Oryzias latipes: one gene and its partner. The protein of the gene in region 2 purifies or fractionates together with the protein of the main gene of each other region. This does not show direct contact. Links are inferred from orthologs where the notes say so. Each region holds a gene or a part of one and is shown on either strand. Other genes may lie near its edges.

Region 1 (6,377 bases), on a different chromosome or scaffold from region 2:
ATTACCTTTACCAACGTTAAGGGTTAAGGTATTTACCATTACCTTAACCCTTAACGTTGGGAGTTGGGTCATCTAGACCCACTAGACAGTGCTCTGAACCTTTTTTCTTCAATGATTTGTGATCTTCATGGATTACATGAAATCTTTCCACCTTTATCCACCTTTGTCATGGTAGGGAGAACACGTCAATGTAAGGGTGAGGTCATCTAAGATAGCACAAGGGATATCCCACAGTGACAATCAGCATATATTATCGCTTTCCTTTCCCGCTGCAGTCGAGGTCCGTGCCGACTCAGCCGCTACCACAAATTGCATCACGTAACAAATAGTTTTTTGTGAAAGAAAAAAAAAAAGCCATCAAACCGAAAATATAACAATAAAGTACAAACAACTTAGTATTTCTTTTGTAAGTGACCATGGCATAAGGTTAATGGCCTTCAAAGTGTGCATTATCAGGAATTAACGCGGAAGCAACCGTCAACGCGAAGCAGATGGCGTGCGTTAATTTCTGAACACGCACACTTTGTCGGCCATTAACCCTTACTTAACACATCCAACATTAATGTTCTGCTGCACACTTTTTAATACTAAGTGTTTAAAACTTAATGCTCTGCAAAAAGCAAAAAAGGTGTAAGGTCTTTTAAAACTTGACAGAAAAGATTTGCTTTAGTTGTTCAAATTTTTTTAAATTAACTTGACCTTTAAAGTACGGTTTAGGTTTTAGCCAAACTGCCCCTGATTTATTATATTCATTATTATGGAAATCAAGCAGACCCCAGTCACTCACTTCAGACATGAAGCTTCTTTATTGGTGAAGCAGTTTAAACGCAGATTTTCATATTTAAGTCTCACTCCTCAAGATAGTTAAGAAATAAATAAAACTTGGTGACAATCAAAAGCAGGAAAATGCAATTTGATCTTTACAAGCAGACTAAGGTACATGTTATCTGACCAGCTTTTAAACCATGTTTTTATAACATTACTTTATTTCTTAAACATATCCTATCAGAATAATGAAGAAAATATGATTAGTTTTTCACTAATCCACAAACTAAAAGCTCATTTTAGCTTTTTCAAATTGAGTTTTTTCATTTTTGTTAAACTCAAATCTTTGGGTTTAAACCTGAATCACTTGAATTTTCACGAATTATTTAACCAGTTAAAACATTAATCTAACAAAATGTTGTATTTTTTAAGATTTGACTCAAAAGATCATGAGAGAGGAACAGTGTTAGGAAGTTTGGGCTTATGTCATCAGTCTTGTGACAATCTTTGGAACAATGGTGAGCCTCTCGTTTTACATTAGTTGAGACTTAAAGTTTGACTCCTGAGAATATATAGGTGCTCCACTGCACATGCTCAGACTGCCACATCTAGCCTCTGTAGATGCTCATCGGACAGTGAACAGGCTTTAAGAGTCTAGCGCAGCACAAACAGGGCTGTTTGAGGTTTCACTGAACGGCTCTGCTATGTTTCCTGCAGCTTTAGCGGGAGACATAAAAGATGATTAAATAAGGAAAAAAAAGACTGTAGTACAAAGAGGGTACAAGAATGACAATTCCATAGGAATTTAGGACGGTTTCAACACATCTCCCCCTCAACAAACGTCTATTTGTGCAGACAATTTGCCAGTACCAACGACAGACGCTCTCCAGGTGATTTCCTGATGTTCCGGAGGAAAATTTCAGTCGTTCACAGGATAGGATGAAAATCCTGCCCCTCTGACAGCGAGCCGGCATGAGAGCATTTAGCTTTTGGATGTGGACTCTAGGAGCTCCTTTGCAGCAGAAGACAGATTCTGCGCCAGCTGTCGAACGACACCTCCCTGCACTTTGGCCCAGGCCAAGCCGTCGTCCACGGCAACATTGATTGGCACGCAGGCCGGTTCCTTCTGCAAGTCGGTCAGCCGGCAGGCGGCAACAGCCCCGGCCAAACCCAGCATCAGAAGGAGGAGAAGCTTGAACATCAGTCCGATAAGAGATCGCCGTGGTTTAGACGCAGGTTCCACAGCCGCCTTTTTGTCTGCTGAAACAAAATAAGACATCCATTTAAAAAAGAAAGAATTTAAATAAATGAAAAGCAATTCAAGAAACTGAAAACCTAAATCCCACCTGCTGCCTGTCCATTTCTTTTCTTTTTCTCCTCATTCTTCTTCTTCTGTTGCTCCTTTGCCGCCACAGCCGCCATCTGAGCCTGGTACTCCTGCCGTCTCCTTTCTTTCTCCTCGGCTTTTTCCCGCTTGCGAGCCTCCCTCTCTCTGGCTTCCCGTTCCCTCTGCTTTGCCTCTTTTTTCTTTTCCAGCTCTAAATAAAAAGAAAAATAAGATTTTTACAAGACATGCAGTAAATGGCAAAACTTTCCATTTTTTTGGTAAACCCCAAAACAACCTTCTTTAGACGATACATTTCTAGAAACTCACCTTTTTCTCTTAAAAGGCGCTTCTCTCTGGCGTGGTCCACCTCCTCCTGAATTTCTCTCATGTGCTGCAGAACCTTAAAAAACACGATGAATAGGTTTGGAGGTTTTTCTTCCAGAGCAGACCATTGGACTGATGTTCCTCTATCTCACCTTGGAGGCACACAGTTTGCACTGCTTCTCATCCAGACAGTCTCCTGCTGCCTTTGCCAAAGTGGGCTCCAGAGGGTTATCCTTTAGATCCAACCACTTTAGACTCTAAACAAACCAACCAACCAAAATACGCTCAGTCCGACTTGGTTACAACAGCCTCTTTCTGACTGACACAAATGGTGACAAAAGTGCAGACGCTGCACACCACCCACCCTGAGCTGAGAAAAACTGACGGGCAGGGTCATCAGCTTGTTGTTGAACAGGTCCAGGTGCTGAAGGTTGACCAGGTTCCCAAACTCATCTGGCAGACAGGTTAGCTGGTTTTTGCTTAGATCTAGTTTCACCAGGTGGGTCAACGAGCAGAATTCTGGCTGCAGGACAGAAACACAGCAAACCAAAATGTAAAAATTCTGATTTATCAAACACCGCTAAAAGTCCCACTAATCATATTTTGATCTATTTTCAATGCATTCCCTATAATTAAAGACCACCCAGCTTATATTCTACATCACAAATTCACGCTGATTCTTTTCATCTGCTCCTGATTCACAGCAATTTGAATAAAGAAATACTTAGGCAATTTGTGCTGAATTCTATTTATACTCGTCCTTATCATCAGGAAAATGTCACAAGAACATGCTAAAAAATACCAAGAACACAATTTTACTCAGGGTGGGTATTTAACACTACAAGTAGATGGATGACAGAGGAACAGGAATAATGGTAGAGAAAAAGTTTATTAAAATAAACGGCGACTTCTGTGCCTATCCAAAGAAGGGAACCTAATAGTTCATGGCAACATAAAGAAAGAGTTTTAAAAACTGTTTAGAGATCAAAACATTTACTTTATTCATGCGACACACGATATAATTGATACAAAAAAGGGAGTCCGATTAAATAAAAGTTCAATATTGATCCTTTAACAAAAACAAGAGATAATGCTGTTAAATGTATATATAAAAGCACAATAAATGACATATGTTGCTGATTTTGTACTCATACTTACAGAAAGGCAGATGATGTTATTGCAGGACAAATCCATCACTGTTGCTTTAGGAAGCTGGGCCTTAAAAAATACATACAATTAAATGAATATTATTATTATTATTGCAATTGTTTTATAGCAGGAACTATAGAAAGACACCAAACCAGTCCTGACTTTAATTAAACGTGTTACTTGTGTGTGTGTTTTTTAAATTAACTATTAATAAACATAATTGACTCACAAGCTCTTTGACCGGAACCTCAGAGAGGTTACACAGGCTCAAGTCCATTTCATTTCCACTCAGTTTATCCTTCAGATTCAACGCTTTGCTAGATTTGCTCATCCTGAAGCCTGTCAGGAAAAAAAAAACAGAGCAATATAACCGCAATAAACAAACAAAAGCGTGAGGAAACTTTAGAAAACTATGTCAGACTCCACAAAACACCGAAATCCACACATGACGACGAGGCTCTCACCTGATACGGAACGTTTAACAAAGCCGCTCTTTACGTAGGTCTGTCGAAAGGTTAGCACTGAAGGCCTGACTGATATATCTGAGGAAACCTTGACAGAAGAATCTCAGAAACGCTGTTAGTGTCCGCACAAACTGCCTCTCAATGAAAGTCCACGTCACTGATTGAGCAACAATGCAGGGACACCGCAGAGAACAGCGCCCCTCCGAGGCGCGGAGGAATGACTGCTATTACTATTTGGCCAAATAACAAGCTCCTGTTTTTCCATTTCCATAGTGCTCACAACGTGAAAATTATAGTTTTTGTTTTATTTTTTGGATAATAAATAAATACATAAAAAATTAATGAAAATTGATGCACATCTATTTTTTTAAAGAAAGACACTAAATAGTGCATTTAATTTTGCCTATTCCTATTCCAACTATTTAATTTTTGTGATTGATCATTTTTTGAGCCCCCGAGGAAAGACTTTGCAGGTCCGTTTGCGGATGACGTGGGAAGACTGTGAAAAGACAGACATGTTGCAATTAATGTTTTCTGATAGCGCTGCAGCTGTGTTTTATCTGTTTCCCCTCCTTAGAACTCAGCGCATATGTAAATTAGGGAATACCCAACAAACTTAATAAAAGAGGAGGTGACAGAATATGCGCCAGAGTGGAGAGCGATTGTTGCTGAGGATTATCGCTGTTCGTTTCTCCTCGTAAAAGGTACCTTTGGTCTGTCTTTCTTTCCTTACGTTGTTATTCTGATGTTGCAGGTTGTTGTAATCCAACACATGCTGGTGTATCACACACCAAATTCACAGTAACATTGTACATTTGCAACAATGTCTATTTACTACTACAAATGAAATCAAAACATATAATGGTTTCAAAAATTCCCTTTGATATACAAATGTGTTATTCTTTTTTAAATCCACTAATTTTATAATCCAGACAATTTTCTTACAAAAGCTTCTTGAAAACCAATTACAAAGAATAAAAACTCTATGGAATCTACAATTCCTCAATGATAACACAGTTTTTTTTATTTTTGTAGCCATTTATTGTTCTGTTACAGTTATTTTCCTCTACAGTCCCCCAAAGTAAAATGACTTTTCTTTAGCGTCTTGCTTTATTTTTGGCTTGCACAGTCCCTAACTAAAAATTTGGTTCAAGTATTTGTGCTGACAACACTGAACAAGAGAAAAGCCATACAAATACAGGGAAAACACATGCCACAACCAACATGCCCAAGCTAAATGTATTCATGAAAACTTGAACCTCAAAAACCCTAATGACTCTCTTTATTGTGCTCCTCTTCTAGCATTTTCCACTTACAAAAATGTCATTACACGTATTTTAACAAAAATTTCACAATATGTTGACACCTATGTGTTACATATTGCTAAACATGCTTTAAAAATGACAAATTAGTGGAAAATAGATGGTAATTTACAATGCTAATTACTGTTTGAATGATTGAGCAAGGTTATGAGGTTGGGAGTTAGCGTAGTCACAGTAATGTTTGTTTAATTGGTATCAGTCTGTTACAAACAAGGTTGGGAATAACGGGTATTATGAATATGCTGCTAAAGATTCTAACGTGGCTAATGTGAAGCGTGTTTAAAAAAAGTTAGTGTCAATGTAGCAAATGTTTTGAGTGGTTCACTTCCACCAAATTCATTGTACGGGTAAATAGTATTTTTGTCAACTCTTGTACCTGTACGTTTGTCACTCTGTCCAATCATACTCAAACTCACCAAAGTCAGAAAGAATGCACCAAGACAAGCATGCGCGGTGCGCCATACAATCTGGTGGCCCCTATGATGTGGAAAATATGGTAGATGTTTAGGAAAACAAATCATGTCTGTTCAGTTCATTATGATATTATGACAGTTTAGGCACTGGCGGCAGAGCATGACCAATATATATGTTGCTTCTCATAAGTTTATCATCAAAAAAGTGATAGGTTTTGGATACTTTTAGGTCATATTTATATCCAGTAAAACAAAATAAAAAGGGAGATGAGTGGTAAAAAGTATTACATATTTTCTTGTCATTTTTTGCCTTTTGCAGTCTTTTCAGTGCAGAGTTTGAGTCTCGGGAAAATCATATAGTTGTGGTTTGGTGAAAATAGTGCTCCTAAACAATAACCCCAGATGTTGTCAAAGTTTTCTTGATTTTCACATTTTCAAATTACACTGATTTTGGACTGCTTTAAGGTTCACTTGCAAGAAAAATGAGTTAATTGTTTTTCAAAATATACTTCCATGGTCCACCCATCAGATCAGAAAAAATTTCACACCAATCAAGGAACAAGGAAAAGAAGTCTCATCCAGACCAAACTGCTCTGTTTGGAACATGCGCTGA
Region 2 (5,100 bases):
CTTTGTGTTTTCCTGCAGCTCAGTCTGGACAGTACCTGACAAGCTCCAAAGTCAGCCATGAAGCCGGTCAGTCCGGTTTGGCCCTCCTCCTGGTTCAGAATGCTGAGAAATGTCCCGCCTTTACCTGGTTCAGTCGACGTTCAGTTGAACCGAACCAACAGTTCCAAAAGCTGCTGGTTTGAGGGAGCTTCTGCCTAAAATGAGTCCAGACAGGACATAAAGAAAGCAGAGTTTGAGTTTCAGACTCTGCCTTCTCTGGTGTTTCAGATCTTCAGTCAGAGGAGCGCACAGGAAGTCCTCCTGCAGCCACGACAGAGGTGGAACCACAGCCGGTAGAGGCCGCCGGTGAGTCCATCTCAAAGGAATGAAAGACTTAAAGGATGAAGTGTGTTTGTGTGGTTTGTAATGACCTGGATTGAAGCCAGATTTCCAATCCCCGTAATAGTCCTATATGCTGTCATGGAACCCCATCCTTTCTAAAAGAGGTAGAAACAGACTGTGAGGCTGTCATACAGCTTAAGTTTTGACAGTTTCTTCAAATTTCTACTCTGGTTCATAAAAATCTTCTCAGATGACTCACTGATTTTATTGTGTAGTTTTTGTTTAGGTCTATTGACCCATTTCATAACACTTTGGTTTCAAAGGTGCTTCACTCAGGAAGTCAGCTGCTGCTGGTTTCTACATCTGATCTGTTTGTTTTTCCTCCAGTGTTTTTTTTTTCGTAATATTTGGAGCCATGCCCTTAACATACACTGTGCTAAGGTTAGAGGCAGCTGTGGATAAACAACAAATGCTTTCAAAAAAGTGTTTTTCATCAATCAAACAAATGCAGAGAACGAACAAAAGAGAAATGTAAATGAAATCGGTATTTGCTGTCGGTCTCCATCTGCCTTCAGAACTGCTTCAGTTCTTCCAGGTCCACTTGTTTCTGAGGGAACTCTGCAGCTGACCGATCCAAACATCTAAGCTCAGATCTCCTGTGAGCTCAACCAAATCAGAGCAGATGTTTCAAAACCTAACATTTGCACAAATGGAACCTTTTCTTTGAGAATGGGAATGTGATAAATCCTTTTGTCAGCCCTTTAAAGTCGGTCATGTTTCATGTGTGACAGGAAGGACAGAAGAGCCAGTGGAGGAGAAACTCCCAGGTAGAGAGTTAGGAACGTTGAAAAGCTGTTTCTGAGAGGTTTTCCTTGAAACTCTCCTTTGCTCTCCTGCAGTGAAGAAGAAGAAGAAGCCAAAGCTGCTGAACAAGTTTGATAAAACGATTAAAGCCGAAATCGATGCAGCAGAGAAGCTTCGTAAGAAGGTACCAGCCCGGTCAGCAGCGCTCTGAGCTCCGTGTTTTTGCAGGACATGATGTCTCTCCTCCTCCTCTTTGCCTCAGGGGAAGCTGGAGGAGGCGCTGCAGGCGTTTGAGAGGCTGGTGCAGCAGTTTCCTCAGAGCCCCCGCGCTCGCTACGGGAAAGCTCAGGTACTGTGACGGTGGGCTGCAGAGCCGGCAGCTGGTGCAGCGGAGCGCTCATGCCTGCCATGACCCCCCAGGCGGAGGACGACCTGGCAGAGAAGCAGCGCAGCAACGAGGTGCTGCAGAGAGCCATCAACACCTACAAAGAGGCGTCCGAGCTGCCAGACGCCACCGCCGACCTCATGAGAGCGGCGCTGAAGAGACGAGCCGCGCGCCAGCAGTTCCTTGGTATGGTCCGAACACGCGGTACCAAGCAGAACCGATCTGCTTCCCGTTTGATCCCAACTCAGCTGACGTACATGTGTGTGGGAGGAGCTTCCCCTCCTTCAGAGGTGACCCAGAGTTCCAAATCTGGATCTGCTCTTTTTTTCAAAGGAATCTGAATCAAAAAAGTGGAGAAACAGACCTCATGTCAGAACCTCTTCTGCACATTTAAACTCCCTGCTGGTCCAAACGGGAAACCACAAAGCTCTTTCAGGAGCTTCCTGTGGTCATGCTTTGTTTTTCCCCTTTATGCTTTTGAAATGTTAAAATGAATGAAAAAACATTTCCTAAACTCCTCAGAGGCTTCAGCGCTTTCACCTGGAAAGGTCCAACCTTTACTACATTAGCAGACTTTCAAAGTCAAATAAGTCCACTTTTAGGTTATTTCCAGGCATTTGGCCTTTTTGTTGTAAATTTTGCTCATAATATTTACATTTATTTTAATTTTTTATCTAAAAGACTTTTTAGATACAACATTTTGTTTAATCAATTTGTTTTGGACTTTTATTTGATTTAGTTTTTAGTTCTTAACTTGATCACTTTTGCTCTTCATTTCAGGGCTTCAGGTACAAACAACTGTACTTGGGTTTTCCGTGTAGCCCGTACAAAACCCAAGTACAACTGTACTTGGGTTTTGTTCCATTTCCACTTATTTAAAGTAACATAAACCCTTCATGTCTGTATTTATTTATTTCCAATTATAAAAATACATTTTCTTCAGTGTGTTTGAAGCTCTGGAATTTTGGTTCCTTGTAAATTAGCGACATCCGGCTTGAACAGGTTCCGTTTTTTTAAACCTTTGTGTTTTGTGCCGAAACACATTTCAGCATTTTGCTTTCATGCAAATGCATTTTTATTGAAATTAGGACCAATTACATTTTTTAAATATATTTTGGCACTATTTTCATGTATTACCTTTTCAAGTTTCAACGATTCTGGTTCTCCTCTCGTCGGCTGTGGTTCTGGATGTTCTGACATTAAAATCCTTAGCAGAAAAGTTCTGTAAAGGTTGCCTGGTATCTTCTCCATCGGCTCACTTTAAACGCTGTGTGCCTTAAACAGCTGCACAGGTGAGGACCGTACTCAGCCAGCTTCTGAAGTCATTTAGAGACTTGATTTAGAGAATTCTCGTTCAAACAGTGCAGCTGAACAGACAGAGCAGAAAACACGTTTGAACATTTACTGCTGTTCGTTGAGAAAGTCAAATACATGCAGATGGGGTTTGATTTCTGTCAGCTGTTCATGTACGATTCCGTCCCTTCAGCTTCTGCCAGAGGGTCGTTTCTGCTGCGAAGGGACACTTCCTGTGGTCCCGTGCTGCCTTCAGGGCCCTGAGCTTTGTGCAGTTCCTGTTTTACAGATGCTAGCTGGACTCTGGTCTGGAGCTTCACATCAAAACTTCCAACACTTTCTGGTTTGGTGATAACACCCCCTCCCCCCAGGTCGGACACGCGGGTCTCTGGTGACGCTGCAGACGTTGGTTCAGATCTTTCCCGACGACGTCAGCCTGAAGAACGATCTAGGCGTGGCCCACTTGTTGCTAGGCGACAACAAGGGCGCCAAGCAAGTCTATGAAGAGGTTTGTTTACAGACACAAACGTGCTGCTGTTTGTTTAAGTCCTGAGTCCTGATTGGCTGTTTATCCTCATTGCTCAGGTTCTGGGCGTCGCCCCTGACAACGGCTTTGCCAAAGTGCACTACGGTTTCATCTTGAAGGCAGAAAACCAGATTGCAGAGAGCATCCCTTTCCTGAGGGTTAGCACACACGTGCACGCGTCCAGGTGAGTGCGTGCACCTTCAGCTCTTGACCTCTCCTTTGTCTCTGCAGGAAGGCCTGGAGTCTGGCGAGCCGGGGACCGATGACGGGCGCTTTTACTTCCACCTGGGAGACGCCCTCCAGAGAGTTGGAGACGACAGTGTGAGTGATCCTTCCCCCCCCCCTGCTGACCACAGGAGGCAGATAATAGGAGATTACAGATTAAAGATGCCTTTATTGTCGTTGTACATGGTGATACAATGAAATTGTAGCAGCCTTGGAGTGGTGAAAATAAAATAAAATACAAAACTTTAAATCTTATCTCCAATCAAGATATGTACAATATGTACAGAAACAAGTAAATATTAAATACGTGTGAACAAAATAGAATGGCATGAGTTGAGTTGCAATGAGCGCAGCATAATATATATTGCGTTTTATTGCACACATGTAATTTAGTGTGTGAGAACAGTCAGAGTGGGTGTAGTTGGTGGGAGTATGCGTATAAAGTGATTGCCTGTGGAAAGAAGCTGTTCCTGAGACTGTTTGTCCTGGTTCTGATGGACCTGCACCTCCAGCAGATCAAACAGAGGGAAAGCAGGATGGGTGGAGTCAGTGATGATGCTCGATGATGCTGGTAGATGTCCTTCAGTGAGGGCAGCTGGTGATCCTCTGCGCTGTCTTTACCCCTCTCTGGAGACCCTTCACAAAAGATATACCGGTAGTAAAATATTAGTCTAAAGGAAGATCCGCAGAGTTTCTTTTTATACCACCATCTTGTTTCAGTTCAGTGAGTTCCTTGTGTCCTTTCTAACAGCTGATGCTAACCCAGTAGAAGCGTTCAATGAAGACTAAATAGAAATGGAGCATTTTCAATTGGGAGCCTGGCTCAGAGCAGCAGTGGTGATCTGCTGTGAGCAGGAAAAAAATCAAGGCTGGCACATGGCGTTGCCTGAATCCAAGATTTCTGTCAGAGCTTGTTAGCAGGTGTTTGTGTCGGCATCTTTCACACCTGATGATGTCAGCACAGGGGTTGAAAGTCACAGAGTTACGCCATTTCCATCGTCATAGACACCGTTGGATCTAATCCAAACCTGAACTGAGTGTGTATGTGTGACCAGGCTTATCAGTGGTATGAACTGGGTCACAAACGTGGTCACTTCGCCTCGGTGTGGCAGAGATCTCTGTACAACGTGAAGGGGCTAAAGGCACAGCCCTGGTGGACGCCCAAAGAGACGGGCTACACGGACCTGGTTAAGGTACGCCGCCTCACCTTTGCAGTTAGGTTCTTTAAGCCAGGGTTAGGGGTCCATGTATGCGGGTTTTTTCAGGTGCTGGAGAGGAACTGGAAGACGATCCGGGACGAGGCTCTGGCTGTGATGGATCAGGACAGGGGACGCTTCTTACCAGAGGATGAAAACCTGCGAGAAAAAGGAGAATGGGGCCAGTACACCCTGTGGCAACAAGGTAAACAGCCCCCAAAGGTCACAGAAAACCCAACTGTTGGTCCAGAGATAAAATAACCTCCAGTTAGAGCTTCATCTCCCCCAGAGGGAGGATTTTAGGGATCAAGGCAGTCGGCTCTCTTTTGCAGTTAGTCTCCAGTGGTCAC

The links.
Region 1: the proteins of aspartyl/asparaginyl beta-hydroxylase (region 2) and lrrc59 purify together in Homo sapiens (co-immunoprecipitation; 3 studies listed by BioGRID and IntAct, with this or other methods). This does not show direct contact. The link is inferred for Oryzias latipes from reciprocal best matches to the Homo sapiens genes ASPH and LRRC59.

What each region holds. Positions count from the first base shown.
Region 1 is NC_019877.2:13,739,939-13,746,315, reverse strand, and holds lrrc59 (leucine-rich repeat-containing protein 59), read right to left. Parts: upstream 4,206-6,377; 5' UTR 4,030-4,205; intron 3,905-4,029; 5' UTR 3,897-3,904; coding exon 3,795-3,896; intron 3,635-3,794; coding exon 3,575-3,634; intron 2,940-3,574; coding exon 2,781-2,939; intron 2,674-2,780; coding exon 2,569-2,673; intron 2,493-2,568; coding exon 2,420-2,492; intron 2,304-2,419; coding exon 2,112-2,303; intron 2,026-2,111; coding exon 1,748-2,025; 3' UTR 783-1,747; downstream 1-782.
Region 2 is NC_019878.2:3,440,008-3,445,107, reverse strand, and holds part of aspartyl/asparaginyl beta-hydroxylase, read left to right. Parts: intron 1-18; coding exon 19-66; intron 67-267; coding exon 268-345; intron 346-1,112; coding exon 1,113-1,148; intron 1,149-1,220; coding exon 1,221-1,309; intron 1,310-1,387; coding exon 1,388-1,474; intron 1,475-1,545; coding exon 1,546-1,696; intron 1,697-3,174; coding exon 3,175-3,311; intron 3,312-3,388; coding exon 3,389-3,487; intron 3,488-3,560; coding exon 3,561-3,650; intron 3,651-4,609; coding exon 4,610-4,747; intron 4,748-4,819; coding exon 4,820-4,955; intron 4,956-5,100.